Lepisosteus oculatus: one gene and its partner. The protein of the gene in region 2 purifies or fractionates together with the protein of the main gene of each other region. This does not show direct contact. Links are inferred from orthologs where the notes say so. Each region holds a gene or a part of one and is shown on either strand. Other genes may lie near its edges. The genes, in order: MOB kinase activator 2 and serine/threonine-protein kinase 38.

Evidence for each region.
Region 1: the proteins of serine/threonine-protein kinase 38 (region 2) and MOB kinase activator 2 purify together in Homo sapiens (affinity purification with mass spectrometry; 7 studies listed by BioGRID and IntAct, with this or other methods). This does not show direct contact. The link is inferred for Lepisosteus oculatus from reciprocal best matches to the Homo sapiens genes STK38 and MOB2.

Annotation. Positions count from the first base shown.
Region 1 is NC_090716.1:13,589,418-13,596,834, reverse strand, and holds the start of MOB kinase activator 2, read right to left. Parts: upstream 3,112-7,417; 5' UTR 3,013-3,111; coding exon 2,897-3,012; intron 1-2,896. UniProt on the Homo sapiens protein: Stimulates the autophosphorylation and kinase activity of STK38 and STK38L.
Region 2 is NC_090700.1:36,873,263-36,880,904, forward strand, and holds the start of serine/threonine-protein kinase 38, read left to right. Parts: upstream 1-4,397; 5' UTR 4,398-4,505; intron 4,506-7,642. Other genes in the region: tripartite motif-containing protein 16-like, read left to right, coding at 1-1,593. UniProt on the Homo sapiens protein: Serine/threonine-protein kinase that acts as a negative regulator of MAP3K1/2 signaling. Converts MAP3K2 from its phosphorylated form to its non-phosphorylated form and inhibits autophosphorylation of MAP3K2.

The DNA of each region.
Region 1 (7,417 bases), on a different chromosome or scaffold from region 2:
TGCATTTTCTGAAATAACCTCTGGTCAGAGAAACAGCATGGAGGCCAGGGCTCTCCTTAGCCCCACTATGCACAGCATTTAGTTATTAACACACTCTTACAGGATTCACAACACATTCCTCACCAACAAACCAACAAGCTTGTCAGAACTGAATTCTGCCTCATCCAGTATACTCCTCACTGGTTTAGGCGAGTGGTTATATAATGAGGATTCTAGGCTTCTGGTTGCTACACCTGAGAAGGCACACATGTCTGCTTGAGGTCTCAGCTGGGAACCTCGACACGGACACACCGGAGTGATCCAGTCTGCTTACGCCTCCCAGCTGTAAGATCAGTAGGAGGTGGCTGCCCACAGCCTGCTTGTATTAGGGCTGCGGAGCATTCCCATTACCCACCTTCAGGAATAATTCATCTGCACTGGACTCGGAGGAAGATCAATCCAGAGAAACAGACAAGCAGCCACATGCTGTTCTGGCTCAAGCACAACTCCAGAATCTAGCGGGTAGGTGCCATATTCCCTCTCCTGGTAAACTGTACCCGGAAGCACACATTGTTAAGCACTCCTGGGGTAAAGACCGGGGCATGATCAACATCTGAATACCTTCCGGGCTAGCGAGAGAGGCCTGGGGCAGCATCCACAAAGCCAGGCCCACTCCACACAGCGCGCTCCAGCTGTTCTCAGCCCTGTTTGCCACGTTTTGATCTCCTTGACTCCTCTCACCAGCACTCCAACTCCTTCCTGTATATCCCCATTGAGCCTTTATGATGGTAACGAGCGACTTGCCACTTAGCAGGTCTTTCAGGCAAGGGGAAAGCAGGGGGTGGACAGCGCATCGACAGCGGCCGCATTCACGTGCAGAAGAACCTGGCTTCACAGCTCCCATGCGGGAACCTGCGCATGGTGACACACAGCAGGCTGAGGGCATCACTGAGCTTTCCACTAATCAAAGTGTCTCCGGTCTTGCAGTGCAGCAGGTTGACTTGAATGTGGGAAGCATGAGATGGTTCCCATTCGCTCATATAAAGCAAGGTTTCCTCTTTCCTACAACGCTCAGATTCCACCATAAAGCGATCATTCCAACTCCAAGTTGCAAGACTTGCATTTCTTCAGCAGTGGTGCAAACCGGAGCCTTGACCTGCTCCTCACCAAGCACTGCCCAGAACCCACCGCTCGAGCAGACACGCTCACACAAGACCGACTGGAACGGCTTCCAGATAAGGGGCCTGAGGAGACGCACTGCTGCGGAGCCTACACTCCCAAGCCATAATTGCTGAAAGGCAACCAACCTGACTTAAGTAAAAGGGCAAGTCAAGGAGACCAACGCATCTGTCTGTAAATGCTAACTTGGCAGCAGGTCTAAAAAGAAAATCAGCACTCTATTCTGACTAAAAGAACTCAACTCCTCCTGTGGAAAATCTGTGTTTTTCAGGGATTTAAAAACATAGAAAAGCAATCCCTAGGTGGAGCAAACAGATTAGTGTTAATATGAGATGGTTAGAGCATGTTCTGGATGTGTTCGGGGGATCCCAGCCTTAAATCCTTAAAACCCCGGGCACGTAATTCAAGGAACCAGCAGCACGCATACCACAGGGCTCCCTTCACAGCAAGTACCAAACTTTCACAAGAAATCGAAATATTCTAGCACATTTTAGGTTCCCACACCAGAAACTACAAAGAACATTATAGCAGCTGAAACTTAAATATGAATACGAATACAGCTCTCCTAACCTTAATGGGGACAGAACAGACAACTGCACATTGCAGAGACAGTATCCTGAAGAAGGGACACCTGAAGAAGGCTTTTCTTCTCTTTTCAGCAGGGAATAAACCTCTGCTTGTTCCTTAGTATCCGAATTGTACAACCGGCTGGCTTCACAACTCTGTTAACAACTGTAACAATTACATCTGTAAGACGAAAAAGACACAAGAGTGTCTTAACACTATAAAAACAAATAATGCCTAAAGAGGTGTAAGACCAATAAGCTCAAATTACATTGGTTTGCAGAGGACCACTGACCTATCTTAGAATAAGAAGAAGGATAACACAAACACATTTTAAATTGGGAAAAAAATGAAGGCTACTCCAGCTGCTCGCTGGGTTTTTAAAGCTTCAGTACGTCTGTCGACTTTAGTTTCCAACAAGCATCCGTCCTTTCAGATGAAACTATGCAGGTCTGTCTGGAGCAAGGCGTGGGTTCTCAGAGGTAAGCGCACTTTTCCAGTACGAAGTGCCCCACCTGAAGCCAGAGGCTTCGGGCGATAAAAACTCCCGCAAAGCGGCCCCGGCGCGGCTATCTGCGCTGTTGTGAACGCGTGAGGGTATTTCCTTTCCGTGTCCACACCGAGTTTCTCACGACAGTCAACGATAGGACAACGAATCCGGGAGTGTTGTGGATTTTTTTTTTTTAAAGTGACAATCGCGACGAAACATTTCAAATAAGGAGGTGTTGCTTAAAGAGCCATCGAAACCCAAACATGGAAAAATATCCGCGCATACTACTATTTCCATATAAAATAGCACGGGCAGAAAAAAACCAACAGCAACCCAAAGAGCTTTGACTGCCAAGACATCCGAGCCCAGCTGTTTTAAAATAAGCGCCTGGCAGCTCAAAGTTTTTATGCAGGGATCATCTCAACAAGTCGCACGGGAATCGAAAAACGTCATTTTAACAACTTACTCCACCGAAGGCACACAAAAAAAAGAGAGAGGGAAAGGGTCAAGTTAACATCCCAAACAAGATCGGGAAAGGATCGCGTTGTCCTCGGTTTCATACCCCCCATCAGGAACAGGGACTTTGATCCACACGCCGCCGCTGGCTACAACAACAGCTTCACAACTGCTCAACACACAACAGAAAACAATACCCGTTCATCACAACAACAGTTCGGTCTTTACCTCAAAACCTTGCCAACCGCCTGAAGTACCATTTTGCAACTTAATCCGCCTTTGGGAGTCCTCTGCGAGTGCTTTGCCGTACTGTCTCCCGAATGAGTACAGTGATCACCGACCATGGTAACGCAAACCGCGCAGAAAAGGATACCTCCCCAGCCGCTCGGCCTCTCCGACTGGCTTGAACACCAAATTGCCCTTTCTTTGCTAAGTACGAGAGCCAGATTCATTTCTGCGGTTCCGTCTGGGCCGGCCTCCTCGGGTCAGACCGCCTATCACCAGAGAGGGCGGGCGGAGCTCTGAGGGACCGGGGGGGCGAGAAGGAAAAGCTTCCTGCTCGCTGTGAAACCTGTCCCGGGTCCAGTCCTGAAGGCTTTGTCTCTGTAAAATAACTGCCACAGGGAATATAATCCATTCACTTACAGTAACTGTCATTGCATTGTCACTGCATGCCACACGACGCCCACAAACACCCGCTATAGTCTTCCTGTTCTGGGCGATCAAGCTACAAACGTGACATTTTCTCGCCCTACACCTCAGTCGGGTCATTAGGAAGGGTAAGTGCACCGCACTGACATTTCACCCCCTGAGACGCGACATTTACCGACTGGCTGGAATTGAAACAGAATAGTGTTTGTCTGGAGCTAACAACGCTGTTCAGTTCCTTAAAAATATTGCTCAACAAGTAGGGGGAAAAAAAATAACAACTTTTGACAGGTTGGAAACAAAAATTACATTAATGAAATGAGCTGCAATAAAAACAGCATTTTAAATCCCTGGAATTCTGTCTCATATGGAATATGTACGTTAAGGTAAAGATGCTAAAATAATTAATCGCAGTAATTCATCACGGATTACTACTTTGACTCCTCCGACGGCTTTATTTTCTGCGGTGGGACACCGGTCGCTTTCACATGCGACTTGCTGCGTTTTTAAAGCCCGGATCCGCCAACAAGCACCACACGAGAATCGGGCTGTGGGCATGGTCCCCAATCTTTGAAAACGAATTATAGGTTCATTCTCAATTCAAAAGGTTGGGCAATTCAAACCTAGAAAATGTTATTTTCCTACTGTGTCAGGGAGCCAATTTCAATAAGAAACAAGATCATGATCAACAGGTATCTATCTGCACAATATGCTCTTATAAACAAACTCCGTGTGCAAAATATCTTGCTTTATTGTCATAAGAAGCTGCCTGATGTTATGCATGATAGGTTATCAAGCCAGAACTGGATTGTTCCGTGGAAATTCCACAACACGGGACCCGCAGGCGCAGATATGTTGACGGAAGTTTTTCCATTTCAGGGAAATGCTGTTGAATAAAAAAAAAGGCAATAAATCCTGCACCGCTCACTACCAGCTCTACAGAAAACAGGTGTGCGAGGTGTTGGTTAGATTCCAATTAATTTGAGCTCAGACGAGAAAATATTGTTTTCCCATCATCAAGGAAGTTGGAGACGCGGCAGTTTATCCGCCGCGAGGAAGGCTGGATATTTTGATCAGCTATCTGTAATCCGATGTGTTTCCAAATAAAAAAATGTAACAGTCATGACAAAACATTTCATGAACAGGGAAGGGACACTTGAAACCTGGATTTAAACTCACCGATAAGTACAAATACATTTATGAGTTTAAGCCCCAGAATCGCCGTACTTCAGAAAACCCGACTCTGGTCTGCTTTATGTTTGAACACAAATTGCATTTGGTTGTATAACGCACTTCGCGTGCTTCCGCTCGACACGAAGCGCAAGTCAGGGATCTGAAAGATGAATTCAGAGATTTAATGGATTTTCAAATTCGGACGGTTTAACTTAAGACACTGGAGGTATGTCTCAGAAATCTAAAAAAATCTGTTAAGGTGCCTGAAAGTTGAAAGTTTAGAGCTGGTTCAGTGTACTATAGGTTCAAAATGCCATCAAGTTAGGCCATGAAAGTTTTAATTTTCTCAAATTAAAAATGTAATAAAATTTTATAACACTTCACTAATTAAAAAGTTTAAACGGTTTTTAGTATTCAAGTGGACCAAAATAGTTTTTCTGACTTTTCTGTGATGCTTGTAAAATTAACATGCACAGGTTCTACTGCAATCTAGATTAGAATTTAAAAGTTACTACGTTTTGTTTTGCCATCTTTAGAAGCAGGAATGCAATCCAACTGATTTAAAAACTCCCTATGCACAAAAAAATCACCTAGAGGTTTAATAAGTTTCAGTAAAGTAGAACACATCAGTAAATATTGGTATTATCACCTGCATAGGTAATCACTAAAGGTATGTAACAGCATCAGCCAAGAAAATCTGCAGTACACCCCTAAAACAGTCCTCAGTCACAGACAGGTCCCAGAAACCTCTGTGAAGCAGTTTGTGCTGACTGAGGAGACAGATACGGAGAGGAAATGCCTCGAAGGGCTGCCCTGTGCAGTCTTCCTCTCCCTCTGCCCTCAGCGATCTTGCCTTTGGACACAGCTGGAGAGGTCACACGAGCCCAGTTCCCCCTCCCGCTCCTCCTGAGCTTGAGCTGAAAAGACTGACTTCCCCGTGCTGGTGCATTTCAATGATGTCTGAAATGCATCAGAAGACTCTCCTCCCTTCAGGTTTTTTTTTATTGTAAAGGGAAATTATTTTACATGCCAAGAGGAAGCTGAGAAATGCAAAATCGTACCAACAATCATCACGCAAAGGATCAATAAATAACTCAACATATACAAAACAGACTCTTCGCAGTTAGACTTCTGATTTTTTTTCCCCATGTACCACCTTCTCGTTGCTTGCGAAGGGAGTTGCCGTGCCTGGCCAGGACTGTACTTACAACAGGACAACGCAGGGCTCTACTGCTCAAACACAGAGGGCCTTCAGTCTCAAGTGGAGAAGCAGTCTGGAATGTAAAAGAAATGCAGCAGCTTTGTTCGCTCTTACAGTTCAAGTGCTTGTGCCACGCAAGCTCTTGTGTGAACAGTCACACTGTGGACGTTAAGAAAGGCACAATTTCCAATCACAGAATAAACTGTGATGCCTGGGTAGCTGCTGTGCGCCCAACAACACGTTTACTGTATTTTTAAGAGCAGAAGAAGTATGTTGTAAGTTTAGGGCAAGAAATCAAGAATTTTAAAACCAGGCTGCGAATATCTACAGGCAGCCTGTCAGATAGGAATCTTAACTTGTCCTAAAGAGCTCCGAGAAATGGGAGTTTACTTGAAGCAACTGGGTTTCAAGCTAAAGACTCCCAATTAAAAAATGGCAAACTTGCCAGGAAGCTCTTCTTAGAAATGAAAACCTTTCACAGAAAAGCAGATGGCTTGTGACCACTCGAATCATTAAAGATATTTACTGCAACGTTCCAGCATTACAATAATTCAAACCCATGAACTGCTTTATATCCAATTAAATCATTTACGTGGGCAGGAACATAACAGGAAACAAAGCAGGATTTAGAAAGGAACACTGAATTACTCACAACATAGGAGCCTGGTGAGTAATCAACGATGAGACCGTGGAGTCACAGCAGCTCTGAACAGAAAGTTTTTCTAATCGCAATTAAGAAATGTGACCGACTTTAATATTCCAGAATTTACGGTATTTGATCTGCTGAGAACACGTCTCGACAAGCACAGCCTAGTCTTTGTTTTCCACAGACAACGCCGGGTCTGGCTCAACAGGTTGACGCTGAAGAGCCATGAGCCAGCAGGTAGAGCACGACTCGGGAGAGATGCTCATCGCTGGCGGAGAAGTGACTCAGTCCGCCGACAGCAGTGCTGAAGGAAGAGGAGCCACTGCCCTCCTGTGCACCAAGCCCAGCTGCTTTCCAGCGTCGGCAGTCAGATGTGCGTTTGTGTCACCTATGAACTTCACCGCAACTGACATTTTCCTGTTAAAAAATGCTGCCTCTTTTTCCTTCATGAGAAATCACACCCTGATGCCCCAGGAAAGGTGAAGCTTCTATATTTGATGGAAGCAAGCACAACGCAGGCAGCTGCAAGTGTATAACCCAGCTTATACAGTACTCTACAGTGCAAGGCCTAGGCTGTGGAGCTGTGTGTGACCGGCTTCTTACACTTGCCATGGATGTGAAATGGATCAAAGAAGTGTTTCTACTGCTCGTGATGGTTATGGACCTCTTCATTCTTCTGAATTGGATTTCTGGAAATCTCTAACCTAACCCACCCTCATCATCAAAGCAGATAAGTAGTTTAGAAATAATGCAGACGAATGCCAATGCAAACCTCAATGCAAGGGCACGTTTCTTTTAGTCCCCACCTCCCATATCTTTCTTATTGTAAGGAATGATTTTTTCCATGTGTTAAAGCACTAAGGCTTACTATGCTCTGGCTGGAAACTACATCACAATCAGGCTGTGGCCATATCTGAGCTCAAATGGGGGCATCTGTACTCTCTAAACCTAAAGAGACGACAACAGCGTACAACACTGAACTGATACTGTCTGTAAGACACGGTTCTGTTGCCAGGAATCATGCGAGGGTGTGAGACATCAGGCCTGTAACTACTTTTGAGAAGGAAACGGAAAATTCCCC
Region 2 (7,642 bases):
TGCCCGCTGTGCTTGGATTTCTTCTCCGAACCGCAGTTGCTCCCCTGTGGACACAACCTTTGCGATTCCTGTGTTCAGAAACTTATCCAGCAGGACTCGGGGGTACCGCGGCACAGGTGCCCGGAATGCCGGAGAGAATTCGACGGGAGATCTGCGCTAAAACTAAACTTCAAGCTCTGCAACCTTATAGAAAGTTTTAAGTCCAGTTACTCGGAGCCTCAAGTGCTTTGTGATACGTGTCTGGGGAACGCAGACCCGGCTGTGAGGACTTGTCTGAAGTGCGAAATCTCGATGTGCGCCCTTCACTTAAAACCGCATTTGGAGCGGTCAGCTTTTAAGAGTCATGTTCTGGTGGAGCCCACGGCGGACCTCAGTGCTCGTAAGTGCCCGCTGCACGAAGAAACGCTGAAATACTATTGTTTTGAAGATAAGACTTGTATGTGTGTGTCGTGCACCGTGGAAGGGGAGCACAGGAATCATAATGTGAAGAGTTTAAAGAAAACCCGTGATGAGCTGAAGGTTGACCTGAAAATAAAAATAAACGACATCACGGAAACCCTGAAACTAGCCGAGGAGCTGTTTGAAAAGGGGAAAGCTTACGCAACTTCAGTCAAGGGTTCAAATGCGCACATGAAACTAAGCGCGACGGATGTTTTTGACCACATAATTGAGCTTGCTAATACGTATAAAGAACGTATCGTGGAAATAATTGAGAAAGAGCATCACGTTCTTGAAATGAGCGCGCAGGAACACGTCGTCGCTCTCAGTGAGAAGCGCGAAGAGCTTCAGAAGATTAAGCGTCAGGCGGAATCCGTCTTGGCCGAGAAGGATGAGTTCTTGTTCATTCAACAGCACCTGGACACCCAGAACAGAGTGACACAGGCCCTTGAGGAATCTCTAAGAGGCCTTGAAGAAAAACCACTGAACAGAAAATTAATCCTGGAGGTCCTGGGTGCAATGTTCAGCCAGTTTCAAGCTGAGGTTGGAAAGGGGCACCAGGCTTTAAGGAATGAGGTTCATCCTGCACAACTCAGTCTGGACCCAGACACTGCTCATCCTCACCTCATCCTCTCTGAGGATCTCAAGACCGTGCGGTACACTAAAGAGAAACAGCCGTACCCAGGGCTCCCTGAGAGGTTTGATCGCTGGCACCAAGTCCTGTCTCACCAGGGCTTCTCGTCTGGAGAGCATTACTGGGAGGTGGATGTTGGAAACGGTGCCTGGTCTCTGGGGATCTCTTACCAGAACATAGGAAGGAAGGGAGACGGAAAAGATATATGTTTGGGAGTGAATGCAGTCTCTTGGGCTCTCAGATGGTGGAATTCTAAACTTTCTGTTTGGCATAATAAGATTTCGACTTTCCTTCCGTCTACATCTCAACCCGCAAAGATTGGGGTTCATGTAGATATTAGTGCAGGGACTCTTTCTTTTCACAGTGTAGCTGATCAGTTGGTCCATATTTATACATTTAAAACTAAATTCACACAACCAGTGTACCCTGCATTTTGGGTTCTGTCTGACGAACCATTGTTCTGGTTAACTGTGAGAAGTGTGTCATCATGTAACTTGCCGAAAGTGGAAGCTGTTCAGTAACACTTTCTAGAGCAGTGCTTTCCAGTCCTGATCCTGGGGGACCTCTGTGTCTTCGGCTTTCTGCGCCACTCAAGTTCTGAATCACCAGCAAATTAGTTTAAGTCTTCAGTTTGAGATCTATTTTTTAAATTTCTGAATTTAAAGACTACCCTATTTCAGGCGTGCCTCCTGATATTTGACCAACTGGACCACAACATGGGAAAAAACTCTGTGTTTTTCCAAAATCAACAGACTGTTTCCAATTGCTACTATGCATGCTTTCTGGAATAAGATATGCACATAACAAAATGTGAGGTTTTCCATCCTAATGCATAAGATAGATGCTTTCCTGATTTAAAACAAGATTTTCTGCATTACAGAAATAGCAGCTTGTGATACATATTCCTAAATGCCTTTTTATCTTAAATTGATCACCTCTTAGGAGCCATCTAACAGATCTCAGGGTAATTAAGCATGTTGAGAAGATGCCTAAAGTATACATTTTTATTAGGTTATATGTCAGAACAAGCAAGGAGACCAATAAAAGGGAAACCAAAGAAGGAAATCAAGATATAACTGTACGTCTGCTTGCGTGCTTTATGTGGGTGGGAGAATTGACTTTTCAGACTCTCCGATAAACAGGGACCTCACAGATCATGTGTGCCTGCTGTCAGCTCCTTATTTTATCCACAAATATAATGTTTGTGTCAGCACTCTCCTGATTCCTGATTATGTCAAGACAAAGGAAGAGTAAGAATAATACCTCGACATAGAGCAGCTCTGTTCATTTCTCATGATCCTCTCTCCCCATCTGTGTGTCTGTGTGTCTCACGGAGAGAAAGCTGGGATATGCGGAAAGACAAATTCCTGATGCAAGCAATTGTATAGGGCTAACAAAGTGATCTGATCTGATCTAAAAGGGGGCTGACACTGATATGACTTTTTTTTTCAGTCTTTCGAGTTGGTAACCAAGGACTTAACAATACTGTGCTTTAATGTTTTACATGACACCATGATGTATTATGTACAATAATATGGTCTATAGACTATTGCTCAAATGACAAAATAAAAGAGAAAATAAACAATCATGAGCTGTTCTTGGTTTTGATTACTACGTCATTGTGAGACCATATGAAGTGGCAGGTCTGGACTAGAAATTGACAGCAAATACTAAGAGGAGATGGGGGTGACGTTACTGTCAGACAGGGCTTCCTAAATCTAGTCTTGGGGGTCCCCCAAGCTGGTGTTTAGGACAGCTGGACTCTCACATACATAATTCAGCCCTTGATTGACCTATTAATGGGATTCATTTCAGCTCTTTGTTTTTAGCTCTTAAATGGTTTAAGGGTTGCCAGATCCTCATTACTGTGGTTCGTGAGTAACACAGAAGTTGGAAGCTTTTTACTGGGGAAAAAAAGATTGCAAAAATTAATATCAAGGAACCGGTTAAGTCTGTTTAATAAAGTTACAACTTCGGAGGCAATGGAAGCCAGTGGGTGTGTGGACTTTCAGGACCTGGAGTGGGAGTTCAGTAAGTGAATGCTGGAACTTATCATTCAGGCGCTAATCGCGAAGCCTTCATGAAGAAAAAATCCGGATTTCTAGTTCTGCTCCAGGAGAGACCCAGTCCGGCAAGGCCTACAGTTTAGAACGTGCAGAAATTCGTCTGTGGTGCTAAACAAGGAAGTCTCAATTTTATTCGTCTTTATAACTTTAACTTTAACTTCTTCCGCCGCAAGAGGTCACTGTAAGGACACGCAATGCAATGTTGTTATAACAGAACTCGGAATGTTGAAGAGGCTGGTTTTTGGCCTTTTCATAATTTTGATAAACGCATAAAGCGCATAGAGACTTTACGTGACCTCATAATCCCTAGACACTTAGAGATACAACAGGATGACAATAATAGAAACCTCTCTGTAAAGAAATCACATTAAATGCTTTACTGCATGTACTGTAAATGCTTTGCAGTCTAGTCTAAACACTTTCTCGGAATGTTTTTGTGAGTGTCTTCCTGCGTTGCAATTTTCTTTGTAAAACGTCAACTTTCAGGTTTGGTAAATAACTTCCTGAAATGCTCGCTATTATTAGCTGCAACATTGCTGTGTGTGCTAGACTGTCCCCTAGCAAGGACTGCGTTACATGTGCGCGGATGATTGTGACTGCATACGAAATTAGGTGCGAATTTCATCAATACAGCAGTGAAAATTGCGTTTGAATGAAATCTGATAACTTTAAAAATCATATTACTGCTTCTTTGAAATAATTTAATTGTATATAACATGCTTCACAGATACCTTAAAACCTTTAGTTTTTAAAACCTTTTGAAAGCAGGGATCTCAAATTGGGCTTCAAAACCAGTCCAGTGATTTCTCAGCTTTTTACCAAACGTGTAATATTTATATTAATTGATACAAGTTTAAAGTGTTTAGTTTAACCGCTAAATGTACTACGTTGTGATGTGACGCCTGCCTGAATCTCTCCTATTTTCCCGTGCCTTCGACTAAACGCTATCGAGGCGTTTGGAGTCCGTAGAGAACGTCCGTAACTTGTCACCCCCAATTTACCTGTGTGTAAAACCATTCATAGTCGAGCTCATCTGATTTGCGCATACGGTGCATCTCTGAACTCGCAGATCCGTCATCAGTTTCATTATTAACCGTACCGTTTTTCGTATAAATTAAAAAAAAACAGAATTGGATATTCATTTTTAACTGGTGGTGGGATGTCTCATTCATTTACAAAGGGAGCCGTCCTGTTTTGAAAAGTCCTGTCGGTCCCCAGTGTGTACACAGCATTGCTTAATAAAAAAGGCATTTAAAGAAAGAGCCCAGCCAGGACGCCTAGCGCTCTCTGCACGTCATCACGTCGAGTAGCGACACAGGGGGAAGCGGACAGAGGCGAGCCGTGAGCCTGGGGCCGAGCAGGCGGAGGTGAGTGCACTTAATACCGTAAAAACTGACTCCCGAAGGGGCAAATACCCCGGTTTACACACACACAGATGTTATCTAAGGCAGTTCGGCTTCGGTCTGACCTAAAACGGCGATCTTGTTCTTTCTGCAAGGGCCGTTTTGAGAACTTTTTCTCAAGTAACCGTTAGCCAAGTGAAGTCTGGTGTTCTCTTTTTTTTCCTCCCAGTTTGTCTGTGGTAGAGAGAGTTGCTCTACCTGGGTAGCGTTAAAAAATGAAAACTGAAACTGCTGCTTATTCCTGTGCTTGGGAAAGGCGCGTAGGGCTGCTGAGCTATTTGATTAAATTAACGCTTTTTAAAATGGATACAATTGCCGTTTTAGGAAGGTGTAGTTACAGATCGGTGTGGCGAGAGAACAAAGCGCCTGTCTTGGCTGTTAGTAGGTGACTATACTGCAGGACGGTGAGCTACTGTAAGTGTAACGTATACTTACAAATGTGAAAGTGAAGGAAGTTGTTAATCTTGTTAAAATAAGCTTCTTAAAACGTCCACTTTCTTCATGCGTTTAAGTATTGCACCTTTCCAGTTATAGCTTTTTATCCTCCTTTGACACGGATGGAAATATTGACCCTGTCGTTGTTTATGTGGGTTCGTGCAACTTTTTTTAGCCTCTAACTTGACAATTTAGACCAGGCGCCTGCCTTAAATACGCCGCTGTTGTGTTGGTGTTACTTGGGTGTAGGTGACGCCTTTGTTCAAGAAGGGTTTAAACTCGAGACAGTATCGAACTGTAAATGAATTCGTAAATTTACAGACCAACCTATAGTGTAAAGCCTCAGAAGGTAAAACTAAGTACAGTGTATAAATGCTACTGCAGTAGGTCGATGAATCCTATTGTCTCTGCGGGAGGTCCTTGAAAGAGGTCTATGTGATATTTTCCTTTTCTCCGTGTTCTTTAACTGTAAGGCTTGAATGGGCTTGAATAAGTTTAAAGATAATAAGTTGCAACAAAAGGGGGATTGTGTTGCAGTAGCGTCAACCGTAGCCTCGGTTTTATAACTTAGCCTAAAAATGCGTCTGAGCGATGCATGCTTCTGACACCAACCACACCCAGCATTTTAAAGAGCATAATTTTCTTTTCTCTTTTTTGTTTCTCAGAGCTGTGGTAATTTAATAAATGAGTTCGCAGAGAGGCTCGTTTTAGCTTGTTTAAAGTGGGGGCTGTTAGGTCTTTGCAGTAACGTTGTCCTGCGCACACGTTTCTCTGATACTGTATGCATACGTGACTGTACATGTACTGTATGTATATAATTTGTACGTAGGACGTCTGTCTAATTCACAGACGAGAAGACAGGCTGTGAAGGGTTTAGAGGAATAGTACTCACGCCTAGTGTTTTAGTTCTTTTGTGCAGGAATGGGTTAAATGGATTCAGTGCGTTCAGAGGAGGAGGCGCTATCAATTAAATATACTTAAAGTAGGTTTTAAACTTGGTAATTGAAGGAAAAGGAGAGAGCAATTACTCAAGTTGTCCGTTATGTAATGACGTTATATTTATCATAAACTGCACGAATTTAGATAGCGCGTGTTAGCTGGAGGGTTATTTCAAATATTAGAATAAAGAGCAGGAAAGGTTGGCGGTTAGTATTTATTGAACATTCATATGGCTTTTTTATCCTCCGGTTAGCGCGGTAACGGTACATCTGTGTCCCAATACTGCTCATCACGCCGTGAACTGGCGGGACAGGTTTTGGTCTGTACTGTGCGTCCTGATCTAATAGTTTCACTTGCATATTTACGTTTATGCAAGTCGATATTCTCGAATCTTTGTTATTTGATGCAACTACGATGAAGCGAACATGCTCTGGAAGCAGACTGCATCTAGCGGGTTTTGTCTGGACCGTGTGAAAGTGTTCATTTGTCGTGACACTTAACGTTGCGAAACATAACCGCGGCTCCTTCAGAACTTGTTTCCCACGTTTGCATTAAATATCTCATCTTCCTCTGGTTCAGTACTACACATACACATGCTTAAAATAACTTTAAAGGGCGCCGTTGTCTCACTTAACTGTATTTTTAGACTTGTTTAAAGACGGTACAGTCACCACTCCATTTCTGATAGGTTACTGGAGGAGTTAATTTTTGTTTAGTTTATTTATAGTTTCATTGTTTTGTGTCACCCATGATATTGAAACTTATTTGTCCAGCAATATAAACTTTTTTTTTCTCTCCGCATTAATGCATGTCAGGTATATTCACGAAATTAAAAGAAAAACTTTATCAGAGCACATATTAATTTCTGCACCAGCTGCCCCACCTGGGCGACACACAGCGGCCATTCTGTACCAACAGCCCCAGTGCACAGCAGATCAGGGGGAGGAGTGAGAAAATACTTTTAAATTACGGGGGCTAATGTACAGTCTGGCCTCACTACAAACCAAAAAACTGTGGCGACGCCCCTGTTCTCCCGAGCAGTGCCTGTGATCTTCAGTGACACAGGAGTCAATTCCTTGGTGTCGTGTCACAAGGTGGTTTTTTAGCGGATCCCCTCCTGCTTCCTTTTCCAATCTGATTAGTGCAGGATGAGTGAGCTTGGACTTTCCAAGAGTTTTTTTTTTTAATCCCTGTTCTAAATTTGGGGATAATGGTCCAAGCCATTACTGACCACAAATCATGAGTGAGTTCAAACCAAAGGCCTGTGCCAGAAGCAGTGCACTTTCTTCTGATCCAGCCACAACCTTCCCAGCTCCAGGCGCAGCATGTATTTACCTGCGAAGTGGAGCAAAATGTACTTGCCTTTGAGATTTCTACTGTCCGCCAAATTCGACTGGAAGATAAGTGGCCGGTATGTGATTCTTGTTTTTTCGTGGAGTAGTTTTTCCACAAGCCATAAAATGCAAAAATGTTTTTTTAATGTAATTATGAGCGGGTTGTGTAAATGTGTTGTGTAAATTTTTTAAAACTCTTTCCTAGAGTGCATTGCAACTGAGAATCACACTTGTTTTCGGTCTTCTCAGCAGGGCGGTCGTAACACTTTTCCAACAGACCGTCCAGGTTACAGACGATCCTGTCTGGCAGTTAGTGTCTAATTGCTCTAATGATCTCATCCTCTTGTTGTTGTTTTTTTAAAGAAGCCAAGGTATGGACTTTAACAGCAAGGC